Arabidopsis thaliana: one gene and its partners. The protein of the gene in region 1 interacts with the protein of each later gene in a pairwise test. Each region holds a gene or a part of one and is shown in the gene's direction. Other genes may lie near its edges.

Evidence for each region. The genes of interacting proteins can lie anywhere in the genome.
Region 2: the proteins of NAC012 (region 1) and AT2G35910 interact in a two-hybrid assay, tested with the Arabidopsis thaliana proteins (one large-scale study listed by BioGRID).
Region 3: the proteins of NAC012 (region 1) and SHN3 interact in a two-hybrid assay, tested with the Arabidopsis thaliana proteins (one large-scale study listed by BioGRID).

What each region holds. Positions count from the first base shown.
Region 1 is NC_003070.9:11,862,830-11,869,140, reverse strand, and holds NAC012 (NAC domain containing protein 12), read left to right. Parts: upstream 1-1,986; 5' UTR 1,987-2,190; coding exon 2,191-2,377; intron 2,378-2,472; coding exon 2,473-2,738; intron 2,739-3,174; coding exon 3,175-3,798; 3' UTR 3,799-3,912; downstream 3,913-6,311. UniProt on the Arabidopsis thaliana protein: Transcriptional activator of genes involved in biosynthesis of secondary walls. Together with NST1, required for the secondary cell wall thickening and lignification of sclerenchymatous fibers and secondary xylem vessels (tracheary elements).
Region 2 is NC_003071.7:15,071,831-15,077,258, reverse strand, and holds AT2G35910 (RING/U-box superfamily protein), read left to right. Parts: upstream 1-3,118; 5' UTR 3,119-3,380; coding exon 3,381-4,034; 3' UTR 4,035-4,372; downstream 4,373-5,428. Other genes in the region: AT2G35920 (RNA helicase family protein), read right to left, coding at 65-340, 487-582, 669-887, 965-1,064, 1,156-1,301, 1,412-1,681.
Region 3 is NC_003076.8:8,817,471-8,823,118, forward strand, and holds SHN3 (Integrase-type DNA-binding superfamily protein), read left to right. Parts: upstream 1-2,987; 5' UTR 2,988-3,166; coding exon 3,167-3,246; intron 3,247-3,781; coding exon 3,782-4,271; 3' UTR 4,272-4,592; downstream 4,593-5,648. Other genes in the region: CYCA2;1 (cyclin a2;1), read left to right, coding at 37-96.

The sequences.
Region 1 (6,311 bases):
AACAATTTAAGCTAAGCACAACAACATACAAGTTCGACCTTTTCCTTTGATGATCCAGCCCAACAGTTCTCTTATATCTCAAACCATTCGACCATTTGAGCCAAACTAGCTAAACCTGCAGGAATCAAAACCAACAAAGATTCAGATTAGCTAAACCGGTTTCATCCCTTTGTCACATGACTCACATCCGTCTTCTACATAACGATTTCTAATGATGTGAGCTCTTAACTTGCTCCAGCAAGATCATCAACTTTGGAGCACCTTCAATGATTTAGTTAACATGTTAGATAAATTAAATATTCTTGTTTCAATATATATCAACTTTAGTGTAAAAGCCTTAACATTCTCTTGAATATTTAATTTATTTCTCCTTATTTCGATTTAATGACAAATGTGAATTAATTTTTGTGATATTTTTGTTCGAAATTAGTTTTCAGTTAATAACATACATGTGAGCATGGGACACACATGATTTAACAAAAGGGAATGACGAAATGATATATCAAAATATTAGTATGGGAACAAATTACGAGGTGAAACTTCACACTCAACTCAATTAAAACTAGAATAAAGAAATGGAAAAAGTGAAAGAATGAGAGGTCAAATGTGGTTAATCATTATGTGGTATTAGTTAATCCATCAATTGTGTACCCAAAAGCATGATTAAGCATAGAATTTAGAGAAACAAAACATCATTATTAATGTTGAAACACAAAGATCCCATCAACAGACAAATGATAAGTACAGTGCATGTAGGGTAACAACTTTTATGTACATGTTATATACTTATATTATATAATAAGAAAACGATTAAAGTGTCATTGCTCCAGCCTCTATTTGTAAATCATATTATATCAGTATGCTTAATTCCAATAATTAAGTCCATAACTAAAATATATACACATATATGTATGTTAAATGGTTGAATATATACATATATTTTCATAAACAAATATTGCTAATTAATTCAGTTATTTGTGTACATAATCCAACTATCACCTTTTTAGCTGGAAGTGGATATTCCAACATGTCAGTCTGTCACTCCCACATTCATACTCTCTATTCTTTTTAGCTATTTCAATATCTACGGTTAAATATTAATGGCTATATAGCCTTACCCTTCATTTTAGTTTTTTTTTGGTATTCGCATAACCATCGAATACTCAAACTTACTATGTAAGATGGTCTGAATAACTATTTCCGATTTAAGATGAATAGCTAGATTGAAATATACATGCACTAATTGGACATGCACTAAAGGCAGAGGTGAATTAAATGATGAAATGAAGATGAAGTGTCACACTTGTGCAAAAAGCATGTCCCCTGCTCTTCTCCGCTTGTTTCAATTTCTTTGACTTTCATCACGTTTTTGTCACTTAAATACACCAAAAAATATAGTACAATTAAACATCGAAAATCGTCCAAAAAGAAGAAAAAAAATCATGGAAAGTTCTTTCGTTAATGTTACACACATTATCTTGATTAGGTGACACCAGATATTAGAATAAAAATGATAGATTATGAAAAGAAAAAAAAAATTGATGTATTTTTAGGATACATCGAAAGGAATGAACATACCAAAAACATGGGAAAAAATAGATAACTAATTAACATGGTAGAATGTAGATGACGTAGATCATGAAACGAGTGTGTGATATATTAATGAAAATTATTTTAATATACGTAGCTATATTAGAAAATAATTTACATTTATTTTCTTCTAAACAAATCTATACTTTATATTTACATACATTAGTAAAGACCAAAACACATGGAATTCAAATTCTGCAATAAGTAATTGCAAGAAAACACAAAGATTAATCCCCCACTAAACCCGTTTATTTACGTTAGTATTTTTCCGTTTTATACATTACACATGACATGACATTACACGTCAAAAGAAATATGTCTTACGTCAGAACTTACGTATGATCAAACTCGATTTAAACATAGAAACATCTGTTTACTAAATTATACTAATTTCATAAAGACACTTTAATGCATGAACTTCTTTGTTTAAATAACAATTTCCCCCTTTTGGGGGCTATGTCTCGTCGAGTCCTACCACCATTATAAATTATCTCATCGTTTGCTTTCTTTTTTTTAAGTTGTAACCATTTCCACTCGTAATCATACAACTTCTCTACTCTTCTAGAGCAAAAACCCAAAAATATATTGCTATCTTCGTTAATGGCTGATAATAAGGTCAATCTTTCGATTAATGGACAATCAAAAGTGCCTCCAGGTTTCAGATTCCATCCCACCGAAGAAGAACTTCTCCATTACTATCTCCGTAAGAAAGTTAACTCTCAAAAGATCGATCTTGATGTCATTCGTGAAGTTGATCTAAACAAGCTTGAGCCTTGGGATATTCAAGGTTAAACCCTAAATATGAAAAAAAACTCTTTCATTTCTACGAACTCTCTATTTCTTTGTTCTTTATTTTTGAACCATTTTGGTATGCAAATGCAGAGGAATGTAGAATCGGTTCAACGCCACAAAACGACTGGTACTTCTTCAGCCACAAGGACAAGAAGTATCCAACCGGGACCAGGACGAACCGGGCAACAGTCGCTGGATTCTGGAAAGCTACCGGACGTGACAAAATCATCTGCAGTTGTGTCCGGAGAATTGGACTGAGGAAGACACTCGTGTTCTACAAAGGAAGAGCTCCTCACGGTCAGAAATCCGACTGGATCATGCATGAGTATCGCCTCGACGATACTCCAATGTCTAATGTAAGTATATATAGCAATCATCAATTTGCAGTTTAGGTTAGAATAAACAAATTACAAACTTATAGTCAAAGAATTAGCTAGATTCGTTTCATGCTATAAAAGGTTTTGGTTCATTTAGTACGCACTAGAGCCTTCTTTTAGCATCTGCAATTAAAGTAATCGAACATGATTCTCTGAGTTACAATAAGATAATTTCTTATGAAATTAACACATCATATATACATTTATATAAAAAGATTTTTTCACAAGGCTTAAAATAGTTTAACACGGCTCTACAAACAATACGTAGTTAACTAGTTATGGTTGCATATCCAAAAGAAAAACCAACATAAAAGATTTTTTTTTTTGTTTCAAAATAAAAGTTGCATTTTTACATCATCAAGATTTAATCATCTCTTATTGCATTTCATAAGATCGATTTGTGTTCCATTATCAGGGCTATGCTGATGTTGTTACAGAAGATCCAATGAGCTATAACGAAGAAGGTTGGGTGGTATGTCGAGTGTTCAGGAAGAAGAACTATCAAAAGATTGACGATTGTCCTAAAATCACTCTATCTTCTTTACCTGATGACACGGAGGAAGAGAAGGGGCCCACCTTTCACAACACTCAAAACGTTACCGGTTTAGACCATGTTCTTCTCTACATGGACCGTACCGGTTCTAACATTTGCATGCCCGAGAGCCAAACAACGACTCAACATCAAGATGATGTCTTATTCATGCAACTCCCAAGTCTTGAGACACCTAAATCCGAGAGCCCGGTCGACCAAAGTTTCCTGACTCCAAGCAAACTCGATTTCTCTCCCGTTCAAGAGAAGATAACCGAAAGACCGGTTTGCAGCAACTGGGCTAGTCTTGACCGGCTCGTAGCTTGGCAATTGAACAATGGTCATCATAATCCGTGTCATCGTAAGAGTTTTGATGAAGAAGAAGAAAATGGTGATACTATGATGCAGCGATGGGATCTTCATTGGAATAATGATGATAATGTTGATCTTTGGAGTAGTTTCACTGAGTCTTCTTCGTCTTTAGACCCACTTCTTCATTTATCTGTATGATTATCTATACATACACATACACAAAATATAAAATAAAGTTTGTTAAAAAATGTCTCATGTTCTATTGATAGTACGTCTTGATTTTGGGGTTTAACATTTGTTAATGGTGGAGGGTAATTTTTTTATAATATTTATAATCATAAAATTTACGAAGTTAAAGAATGATATTATATACAAAACTTGAATAACGACTCTTTCAATTGCTTACTAAGCTATTTTAGAAGTCATTACATTTAGTTCTTTATCTTTGACTATTAAAGCTAAAAGATGTCCAAAAAAAAAAAAAGCTAAATGGTAGAACTTTTCACATCCCTCATCTTTCATTCTACATTTCTTACATGCCCACTATTGAATTTGAATCCAAATTATGATACGAAGATTGCCATATTTGTACAACCACGAGAATATATGTTTATCGCTTAAATCTTTTGTATTTGCGAATCATAAAGCCCATAGGCCATAGTGAGAGTTAATATTCGGTAAATTTGTACTTTGGTTCAAACGCACATGGTGAATCCGTATTTTATAAAAAACTTTCTAAATTAATAATGAGTTAATGACAGAACTATGATGTATATGTTAATTTATAGTAATATTATTTTTTCTATAAATTTCAAATCTCAAATTTTTTAATTGTATTATCATTTAATATTTTATCTTAAAACTAATTTGAAAAATATGAGTAGAGAAAATTGATCTTAAAAAAGTTTACTGGTTTGGATATTATAAATTTTATAGTTCCAACTTGAACATTTTGATATTTAAAATAAAAATCTTTTGATGGTGAATTAGAAAGTCTATACTCTATAGAATTCACTTATGCAAAAGATATATATATATATATATATATATTAAATTAAAAATAAAAATCTTTTGATGGTGAATTAGAAAGATATATATAGTCTATTGAAATGAAATGATACATATTCGAAATTAAAATTAAAGATTCTTAGATTAAAATAAAAAACTGAAAGAAGTTTTGGCTATTTTGATGACGAAGTTATAGACGATACTAGTTAATACTATATTTTGAAAACACAACAAAAATAGAGATGAAATCTAACGTCAACTTTTATTTATTTATTAAACAGCTAAAACTAATACATTAATATATTTTGAAAAATTATTACTATTTTATACATCTGAATTTTTTTATTTTACAATATTCCTATTCCAGGAATGTTTTATAATATTTCTTAATTTTGTGAATATTAATTTATATGTTTTACTGTATAAAAAACTAGCATATAACACGGCTATTTTTATTAGTTTATCTGGATAAAGTATCATTGTCATTTTGATGAAGGACTTGTATAATGAATGAAGTGATACTTATTTTGACTTTCATCTAAGTAAAGTGTACCAAATAATAACGCAGCGTAATAAGATTCTCGCTTCGCTATAATTACTTCACCTTTTGGTGCAACTATGTTATTTTTTCATTTTCGTTGGAAAATCCTCATGTCGTTTTTCTTGTGCAAATACGACAATCCAATTACCACTTATCAAATTACGTAACCAATAGTTTTTTTTTGTTTTTCTTTTAATTTTCTGACTAATATTACTAAAAAAATAGTGATGTTATCGAGAAAAGTGTAGAAGTAAGCATATTGGAACACACAAAAATGTCTGAATATAGTTAATTATACGGATCAAGAATCTCGTTAAACGCAAGATAATGGATCCAACTTGGCTCGATTAATGAATTGGAACAATGTCACTAATGAAAGAGGCTACAAGACACGATTCAGTTAAATGCAGTATGACAGTGCATTGTCTTCAAATTGTATATACGGAGACTTGCATTGGGAGATTGAACATTAGCTTGATACTTCAGCATGTCGATGGAAAACATAGCCATCAACATTTTAGCAATCGAAGTCCGAGTGAGCTGATTAAATTTGAAAAGGGCATGGGACATTATATTGTAGGTGGTAAAGCAACCATATACTTCAACCTTAAGTTGTTTCTTATTTTTGCTTGATAAAAATAACAAACCATATATACATCATTTCCCTTCCAATACACTAACAAAGTAACAAAAATAATTAAGATGCTTAAAAAATAAATATTATTACAGGAATTATAACATTCTTATGAATTTTAATTCCTTCTTTTTTGAAAGAGAAATTTGTCTAAAAGATTTGAAAGAGAAACCTAAAAATTTCCATTCAAGATAATTTAAGGGAAACAAAAATTATGAACAAAATTTTACCTAAATTAATATTAATCTATTTTTAAATATTTGTTTTAAATTTCTCAAATATTTTCAGAAAATATATTATTTTCCCAACTAACTTGTAATTTTCAGTAACTACAAATTAAGGAACCCGTTTATACATTCACTGTGAAAAATGTCGTTGAATTTCCCTACAATTACTATTTTTTACAACAAAATAAATTGAGGGTCATAATTCTGTCTATGATCCGAAATTATTGATTCTGGAAAATAATTTGAAACAAACAGATGGTAAGTCATAATCTCACAAACTTTTGTCTATATTGACTCTTTT
Region 2 (5,428 bases), on another chromosome or scaffold:
CTTAAAATATCATACTTCAACTACATGTGATGAGTAGTTGAGTAGTAGAATAGTTGTATCTTACCAGCCGCCGGAGTAAAACACCAGTAGTGCAAAATAGCAATCGTGTTTGATCAGAACGCTTTGATTCTAGACGAATCTGATAACCCACAGATTCACCAATGGATTCACCTCTTTCAGCAGATATACGAGAAGCAACAGATATGGCCGATATACGTCGAGGTTGAGTGCAAATTATGTTGCAATCAGCACCTCTTAGGGATGATATTTCTTCTTCCAATATAAATTGAGGAAGCTGTGTTGTTTTACCACACCCGGTCTCTCCTGAAACTACCAATACCTGAAAAATAAACAACGGACACAACTATAAGCGCAAGATCAACACAACACAAGACAACTAAAAAAAATAGCTTGACAATATTATTGGAGAGAGGCAGAAATAATAGCTGATGGAATACAGAGAAGAAAAACATACCAAACAATTACCTGGTTTTGTGAAACAGAGTTAAGAAACTCCTCTTTCATTTTAAAAGCAGGTAGCTTTTCTCTGAACGCTTTAAGTGCTTTTACACTCTCAGTTGCCTGTGTTGAAACGGTTATAAATTGATGTTATGTCCAGAATCTACATCTACCATAATGCATACGGTTTACTTTAGCAATACATGTACCTTAAGCTTTTCCTGCCTTTCCTTGAGTGCAAAACTGAATTTTTCTTTCTCAAGAGAATCCGGCAATTTGGAAGCAGAATCAGGTCTTTTCAAGCCAAGAGTTGAAGTACGATCCTGTTGATCGTTAAAAGCTGAAGCAGAGGCACCAGAGGACCCTGATTCTTGTGTTGTTTTCAAAAGACTTCCAAGTTTTCTCTCAGTCTCTGTGGACATTTTAATCTACAAGAAAAAGAGTATAAGCGTTTCAGCAGCCACCACTGAGTACAAAACTTTCGTACTAGCAACATCTCTATTACCTCTTTCTGAGTGGATCCATGCCGTTCATCAAGATCCGCTCGATAATCTGGTAAAGGAACTTTGCTAACAACAAGAGCCTTCCCTTTATTGTACGCATGACTTCCATTCCAAAAAACGATAAGCAAATTCATGACATACTCTCACCATATGGACTTAAAACGAAGTTGTCGAAGAAGATATAGAGACTTACAAGTAAAGACCCATCTGCAAAGCCATATCAGAAAGTGTTTGCTGATCTCCACGGCTAAAATTACGCTTAATTAGCATCTCTTGTTCTCCTCCTGTTTTCCATTGCTCAATCTTGTTCCACCATTCATTCTCATCAAGTACTTCCATCTGAGATAAATTATGACTACTTCATCATCTGATTCGAAATTATGTATCAATGTCTAATCGTTAAATTGAAGTAATGAACTCAGAATCTACAAGAACAATGTATCAATTACCTCAGCTTGTTGCTGGCGCAAACGCTCAGCTCTCCACACAGGATCCCACCATCGCTGTTCCCCCCGGCCGCCACCACCACCGCCACGACCGCCGCCGCCGCGTCCACCACGACGACCGGAGGAATGACCTCCGCCTCGACGACCACCTTGAGAATTAGGACCGTGAGGAGGCATAGCGGCGGTGTGAAAGAGAGGACGAAGCGGAGAGAGTTTGGAAGAAAATGGAAGGAGAAAGCGAAGCGTGGAGAAACAAGAGAGGGACTGTTGCATTCGTAATGAATATAAAGTTTGAAACAGTTTAAAGTTGAACTCGCACTGACGACTATTTTTGCTTATTGGAAAATTTTGTATTGAATTTTGTATTACACTATACAAGATAACACACACATATGATATGAGTGACTTAAACCTAATTTAGCTTCAACTTTCAACCATACATACACATTACACATATGAGTAAATCTAATATCATTAGCCGGAAGATATGCGCTTTTTGTGAAATTACTAGATCAACAGTATTTGATACATCACCAAACTGATAGCAAATTAGTAATGATGGAACTAATTTGTGACACCACCAAACTGAGTCAACTATGAGACTTGGACAACTTATTCCAAGAGTGAGTTAACAATAAAAAAACAATGTCAGGATTATAACATTTTTTTCTCTCTTATTATTTCTTCCAAACTTTTTATGCCTAGTAGTAAGTGTTTCCTTTATATATTTGGCCTAAGTAGCTCAATTAGTGTTTGAGTGTAATTTCATATGTTTTGAGTATCCGGCCCAAATATATGGCTTGAAGGTCATAAATTGTTTATCTAAATTCATATTGTTTTAGATGACATAGACTATAGAATATATGATTGGGAATCCGGAGCTATGGGTTTTAAAAGCCCATAGTTACTCTACTGATTGGGGAAAAAAAGAATTGAAAAATTGGAAGAGCGGCGGCAATAATTAAGTGTTCAATAACAATGGTGTATTCGAATATCAATTAAAATTCACTGAATACATTCATTCTTCACCAAATGAATCCGCCCCTGGATAATATACGTTCATTTATCTCCATTCTTAATTACATGTATATCTGTTTATATACTATCATAGCTAGTGTATATTAAAATATACATCATGCGAGCATGCAATGACGCATTTTCTTCATTAATAACAACTGTCCAACAGATTGTTTTCCATTATCAAAGATGCCTTGTGTTAGTAACTTGGCCGTTAAGTGAATGATTTTTATCCTATGGTAGTTTGCCAAAATATAATTTTATGTAATACAAATGTTAATGCCCACGACTCAATTGGTTAAATTTGGATTTCCTAGTATATACAAATTATTTACCTACAATTATATTTTATTTTATTGTCTTGCCACTTTTAGGAGAAAAACAAAACTTTATATTAATCTTCTAATATGGAGAGATTTCAAAGTTTTAAATATTCTAATACTAAAATAAGATAACACTGCGACTTTAAAAGCAAGTGAAGGAAACTAAACGTTGCTTAGGTGACATGATTGGACTTAAATAAGCCTGAATAAAGGAGATAACTAAACGTACATAAACAACAAGATTAGTATATAAGTACAACGTTGACTTCAAACTAATTCAGCGTAAACCTTCTCTAATCTTAGCCACTGGCCCCTCCCTACATTCCTAAATCAAATCTTAATACATGTCACACGTTAAATTCATTAGCCCTGTATCCAATTCAATTGTGCAACTAAGTGTTTTATGTTTGAAATAAACAACGAATTAATGGGTCAATATATTTATATATGCGTTATACTATTACAGTATTACCAATACAATATTAGAAAATTTATACATTGAATATTTTTTTAACCATCCACAAGTCACACAATTCTTGCTTTGCTTTGACAAGCTTTCTTATCCTCATTCACATGCATTTCCTCCCTTTGTCTCTCTCTCTCTCTTAGCGTTGACTTTTGATAACCCCAAGATGCTTCAATTTACATTGTCTTATATCAAATCGCTGACCAAAAACCTCTCCATTATTTCTCCTCTTCCTCCTCCCAAACCCATTAAACAAAACCATCAAACCAAACCCGCCATGAACAATTTCCAACCACCGCCACCGTCCGAGATGCCGGACTACAACGGCCTCCTCGGCACGGACGACATAGGAGGATTTCGATACGGAATCGGTGTCTCCATCGGGGTCCTCCTCCTCATCACCACCATCACCCTCACCTCATACTATTGCACACGTAACCAGCTCTCTTCTTCACCTTCACAAACCAACCAAGATTCAACACGTATCCATCACCATCACCACCATGTCATCATCGACGTTGTCCCCGGTCTTGACGAGGACACCATTCAAAGCTATCCAAAGATTCTCTACTCGGAAGCAAAGGGACCAACAACGGCGTCGTGTTGTGCCATTTGTTTAGGAGACTACAAGGGAAAACATCTGCTGCGGCAGCTACCAGATTGCAACCATCTCTTCCACCTTAAATGTATCGACACGTGGCTTAGACTCAATCCTACGTGTCCTGTGTGTCGGACTTCGCCGCTTCCAACTCCTCTGTCTACTCCCCTCGCCGAGGTTGTCCCTTTAGCCTCCTCCGTGGCCGCCACAAGAATGTCCTAGTGATTTGTTTATTTTATAACCGAAGAAATCGAAATCTTGACTAATCTCCGGCTTAAACTCGTTATTAATTCTTCTTTTAATTCCTTGTAAATTTGTTATTTTTGGTCACTAACTGATCACTGTATATACACTCTTCGAAGCCGAAGATTTGTAAGAGAAAGGAGGTTAAGGATGAATTTTTCACAATTTTGTTGGATTAGTTTTTCTTTAAGCAATGTGAACGAGTTTATCTATACATACGTACCAAGAAAGAGTAATTAAAGTCGTTTTGAATATTGGCAAATATGTTTCTTGGCTTGTATTGAACTTTGAGAGATCATTTTAAATATTGAGACGTCAAAGAAAAAAAAAAGAGTTTGAGGACAAGTTGGAACTTAAGATAATGGGATCGAATCAATTAGGCGTTTTTGATAGTCAGTCTGACAATCTTTCTCAATCATATGGTTTATTTATTAGCAATTTTTTTTTTGTTAAACAAAACCAGATATTTAACAGCGTATTTGTCTTATTGGGTAAACCGTTAGCCAATACATATGATGATATGAGAAAAAGACTTTTATGAGGACCTTAAGAAAAGATATAAAACGTTGATTAAGAGATATAAATCAAGAAGAAAAAAAACACTTGAAAACGATTGTTTTTGTCTCCAATCTCAAGCTGGCTGAAATTAAGTAGGTGAGATGATAAAAATGAGTTGACCATGATAAAACTACTCTTATCTTATTTAAAGTATTCGGTAAACAAAAATATTACTCCAAATATTAGGAACCATGATCGAGAGAGAAAACATGGTGAAAAGCTCAATTTCTCATTAATGATTCAAAGAGTTTGTTACAATCGTTTATAGTCAACAGACTCAATAACCAGAAATAACCAAAGATATGCTCAAATTCATTTTTACAAACACTCAAAAGTGATATGCTCTTTCTCTCGGCTCTGTATTCCTTTCATAACAAGACAAACCGAGGTCGTTCAAACCATCATCGGTAACGTCGAAGGCTTCAACTTGAAGCAATGATGCTGATTTAAGACTTATTGTGCTAGGCTTCTTAATATTTTGGCCCATCTGCCAGAATTAATGATGAATACTTTCATATTGGGCCCTGAGAAATTGACTAAGACCCAATTGTTCACAGCAATGTCAAAAAATTTACCCAAAAAATCTTTCTTTCCCATCTTTTAACTTCAACTTTTATTACTTTTTATATAATCTATTTTCCTTAATAAGAAAATTAAATACTGAATAAATTCTAAATATTTGATACATTCTAAACATTTTTATTATGTAATGGTGAATGTCTAAGTATTTCTCAAAATTTTAGTTACAACTCTGATCTACTAAGAAAGTATCTATGAAAAAAAAGAATAAGATACAAGGTAATAAAATGAGTGGA
Region 3 (5,648 bases), on another chromosome or scaffold:
ATTTGGTCTCTCTCACTCTATATGAATATTTGACAGTTTAAAAGAGTGGCAACATTAACATCTCCTGAACGTGTGAACACACTCTTCTCAAGATGAAACCGCAGATTTTCTGATTCTCCTGATATGACCAAGTCAGCACAACTCTCTGGCTTCAGCAGTTTGTATCAGGTGATCATCAATCCTAGTTTCAGACATCAGTTTTGGTCTCTACAGTTATGGAATAGTTTTCCTTGTAAGTTGTCTGTCTATCTTTTACCTGTAACTGTTGTTAGTGTCAGGTGCTTCCAAAGAAGTGCCATCTCATGGAAAATTGTATCAACCAAAACACAATTTTGACTCATTGAGATTTGTCCTTCACAGTAAAAAAATGTTATAGATTTTTGTAGACTCATTAATAAAAGCAAGTGTTCATGCGCCATTGTATATTTATTTAGTTTTGGTTACCAAGTGATGTTCCAGTGGTAATTACATTCCATTGGGCCCAAATAAACTTCACAATAAACAAATATGAAAAACCTTTTGTTTCTTGTTCAAGAAACTCGACCTAAGCAATACCAGATTCTCTAAAACAATACAAACTGGGTTTTCTCTCTTATGCCAACCTTTTCCTGTCTTGAGTGAAAAGCCTAGTTGATACCCATTTAAACAAAGATCTATAAAGACAAAATTTGTTGAAAACTTGGCTTTCCATTAACAAGTAATTATTTCTTTCACAATATCATACTAAAGATGAATTATACGTATATTTGTCGTAAATAAACGGAGCGATATATCATAGAGAAATATCCTAAAATAGCACTCAAACAAGTTTAATGGACAATTAAAATAACATTGTCCACAAATTTGTAAAATTAGCTTTAGTGAATTTACTCAGTAACTATTTTATAATTATATAAATTAACAAAATTAATTACAATTTGAAATCACGATTAATTTACAAACAATCGTGTGAAACGTCAATCGAATGTTAATAACTTTATATTAGTTTTTTACTATGAATTTGTGTTTTTTTAGAGTTTTAGAGATTGTGTGTTAAATTTAGTAACAAACTTACTTTCATGCTATTTATGAGAATTGCATATTTCTAGACCAATTTTTTATTATTATAATTCATATAATTATTCTTGAATTATTTATGTGCTATTTGTGAGAATTACCAATTTCTAGACCAATATTTTATTATTATTCATATAATTAAACGTTTATTGAATTATTTTAGCTCTAAAAAATATAATGAAATTTAGAATTGTTATAGAAACTTTAAATGACTCAAAACTGATCTTTGTTTTTTTGTCAACCACACATTAATTAAAAACTGATCTTTGTTAAACATCTAAATATTGAAAAACAAAAGGATTACCACCGCACCTATCCTGCATCGTCTTGTACCATTTGCATTCATCAGAGCCATTATATATTCATGTGGCTGTCACATCCTTATATACATTTCAACTTATAAATTTAATTTTGTACGTTTAGCAGATGTTGGTGAATTCATTTATTCAAGCTTAAGGTTTAACTCGTTCTTGTCTCCTTTAGGTTCATAACATTTAATGGACAACAACTACTCCAAATATCCGTGGACTTTACCACGCGACGCACCGACAATTCTCTAGCCTTTTCATTAATTGATCAGTAAAAACACTTCTATAATTTTAATTATTCTCAGAAATTTTAACCGGTAGTAACATAAACGTAGATGATCGAAAAAGATGAAATCGAGGTCTCTGTTTTGTGTCGAATTAATAGATCTATAAGAAATCAAACAATGAAAATTAAATAGATGAATGAAATATGTTTTGACGACGTTTTCACGTCACTGTTTAAGTTATCTGTTAGTAAAATTTGATAGCATTTAATTTGAATTGCTATGTAACTCGGAATAAATTCGACGGCAAGAGGTGTGGGATGTGATCAGTCTTCTAATTAAGTGTAATCTTTACAAAAAATCAGTATGAGTTAATACAGGTTTATAAATAGAAAGACATCTACAGTAAAACCTCTATAAATTAATAATGTTGGGACTGCAAAATTTTATTAATTTAGAAAGATTTTAATTTATCGATAAATTAATATTTATTAATTTATAGAGAGATTTTCGTAATTTAGTAACTTTTCAAAAATTTCTATAAAATTTTTTTCATTATAGAAAATATCTTTCAAAAATCAATTACAAGTAAATAATAATATCATGTTTAGAAAACAACACCAAAAGTTTTTGATAAAGTAAAATACTATAACTAAATTTAAATAAGAATAAATACAAATTTTAAGCAAAAAAATATTAGAATTATATTTCAAAATAATTTCTTACATATAATGTATATATAGTTGATATATTTATAAAATTATTAATTTATGATATTGATGGGACCATATATTTACATAAGATTTTTTAAAAAGTTATTATCTTATTAATTTATCGATTTGTGTCACTTTTTACACTGATCCCAACTCGGGACTGGAAGAATTTATTAATTTATAGAGGTTATTAATTTATCGAGTATTAATTTATAGAGGTTTAACTGTATATGAATAATTGAATACACATGGGACATCATTATAGTTACCTTAGTACGATTTTATGCATTTGGTTACCAAAATCCACTAGGCTTCGTAATTGGTTGTGGGTCAGTGTCCATTCGATAGTTTGCATTAGCGATAAACACTTAAAACAGTAAAACGTGATCTATTTTTAAACAATAACATTTCTTCTTATCAAATATTCACATAATTAATGAAGAAAAGAGACGAATTGATAGGCAATAAGAAATATGATCACTTGGTACCATTGTATGCATGGTATGAACTGACATCAAGTATTTGTACGTTGTAGGGTAATTATTAACATTGTAGAATGACAAGTATGATCAAATGGAAAAGGATTAGTTATATGTAGCAAAACTAGTATTTGTACTTGGACTATCTTGTCATGTAGTTTTCCTAACGCTATATATAATCCAATAACCCCATGACACGGAAGAGATAGGGGACATACAATAAATATCAGTAGAGAGGACGTGGGAAAAGCAGAGAGTTAAGTGAGTAGTTGGAGATAGAAAGATCAGAGACGAGGAATCTCTCTCCCACTCTCACTTTCTCTCCTATTCTTAGTTCGTGTCAGAAACACACAGAGAAATTAAGAACCCTAATTTAAAACAGAAGAATGGTACATTCGAAGAAGTTCCGAGGTGTCCGCCAGCGTCAGTGGGGTTCTTGGGTTTCTGAGATTCGTCATCCTCTCTTGTCAGTTCTCTCTCCCTCTCTATCTATTAATAGAGACAACAGTATAAATCTGTTTATGCAAGTCCATGCTATGAGTTAAGTTTACATTTTTGGTGTACGTGTAGGGCAGTTTTCTGATCATTGATTATATTTTCGAAGATTCATGCAAAGCTCTTATAATATCATGCATTTTTGTTTAAGTCGTTTTCCTTATTTTTTTCCAATTAAAAAACCCACGTTTATTAACATATACATATGTTGAGTATTTGTACTTTTTGTGTTGTATTTTGAAATTTTGAGTGTACATAAATTTAAATGCTTTGTCATATAATTGATACTGATGTATTTTCTATGTCTTAGTTGGATTATAGAAAATCATATAGCAAAGAATTGGGAAGGAACGAACACTACTCACTATAAACTTTCCTCAAAAAGAAAACGACCCAATTTATTATCAGTAACAATTTATAACAAATTTGTTGTGTGTTTGTTTTAGTACTTTGAAGTTTGAATAAAATGTGTGTTTTTTGCTTACGTAACTTATGTGAGCTATCAGGAAGAGAAGAGTGTGGCTAGGAACATTCGACACGGCGGAAACAGCGGCTAGAGCCTACGACCAAGCCGCGGTTCTAATGAACGGCCAGAGCGCGAAGACTAACTTCCCCGTCATCAAATCGAACGGTTCAAATTCCTTGGAGATTAACTCTGCGTTAAGGTCTCCCAAATCATTATCGGAACTATTGAACGCTAAGCTAAGGAAGAACTGTAAAGACCAGACACCGTATCTGACGTGTCTCCGCCTCGACAACGACAGCTCACACATCGGCGTCTGGCAGAAACGCGCCGGGTCAAAAACGAGTCCAAACTGGGTCAAGCTTGTTGAACTAGGTGACAAAGTTAACGCACGTCCCGGTGGTGATATTGAGACTAATAAGATGAAGGTACGAAACGAAGACGTTCAGGAAGATGATCAAATGGCGATGCAGATGATCGAGGAGTTGCTTAACTGGACCTGTCCTGGATCTGGATCCATTGCACAGGTCTAAAGGAGAATCATTGAATTATATGATCAAGATAATAATATAGTTGAGGGTTAATAATAATCGAGGGTAAGTAATTTACGTGTAGCTAATAATTAATATAATTTTCGAACATATATATGAATATATGATAGCTCTAGAAATGAGTACGTATATATACGTAAACATTTTTCCTCAAATATAGTATATGTGTTGTGATTCTAAGACTTGTAAACTGATATGGCCTACTGTTTAAAGAGTAGTTGATATTTTCTATTGAATTTGTGGACATGATATAATTACAGGAGATTAGTATAGTAGTCATTATGATACTTATGAAGGTACAAGTGGTAGGATGATAATTAATTAGTTTAATAAAGAATAATGAACATTAAATGTGAAAGAGATTTGCCACTTTTGTTAAACACATCTGCGAATCAGATTCTTGTGATTCGAATGTTAGTCCTACCTAGATTAAGAAAGGTTTTACTATTTTAACATGTTTACCTGGTTTGGGTAAAGTTCATGTCCTGTCCTATTCCGTCTTGTCCCGATCATGATAAACTTTATGAGCAATTCTTATAGAATTTTATTTTAAAATACTGATTTTTGATATTCAATTTTATTTGATTATTTTTTACTTAGGCATGTGATAAAGGCGATTTTGACTTAGTTTCACATACAAGTTTAAGTAAATTATCTTACATAACAAAAGAGATTCAAGTAAATAAATCTAAGCGGGCTAAAATTAATCAACTAGCTCAAGTTGAAACATTTTATCAAGTGAACCTCTTCCAAGTCTAGATAGCATCTCAAGTTTATATATGATATCATATCATGGACACACTTTGGATTTTGGATATTTTGTGTCGATGTTTAAACATCTTGTTTAGATATAAGGAGAGCATCTATTTTGACATAAATATTTAATAGGTTAAGTTGACGAATTTTGATATTTTGGATATTTTGATGCGGTAGGGTTATTTTATTATTTTTATTCTATTTTGACTGAGACGATTATATATAGATTACCGGCAATATTTTTGTTTTTTGGATACTTAAAATATAAATACTGTTATATATGTCTTCTAGATATTTTATATGAGAGGTCTAATAAGTTTTAAAAATACATAAATATGTAACTAATTAAATATTCATGTTATATCGAATAAAAATATTAGTATTCAACCGCACTATATCATTTATGTAAACATTGTTTCTCAAAAATGATTTAAAATCTTAAAACGGACACAAACACCAGGTATAAAGTTTTAACTAGTTATATTGGCTGGTTTAGAGTTAAATTACATTTTGTTAGTTCAGAATTTGACTGGTTTGGTCGTTTTAAAATTTAATTAATTTCGCTATTATTCTTTTTATTTTATTTTATTTATAACCGAAAAC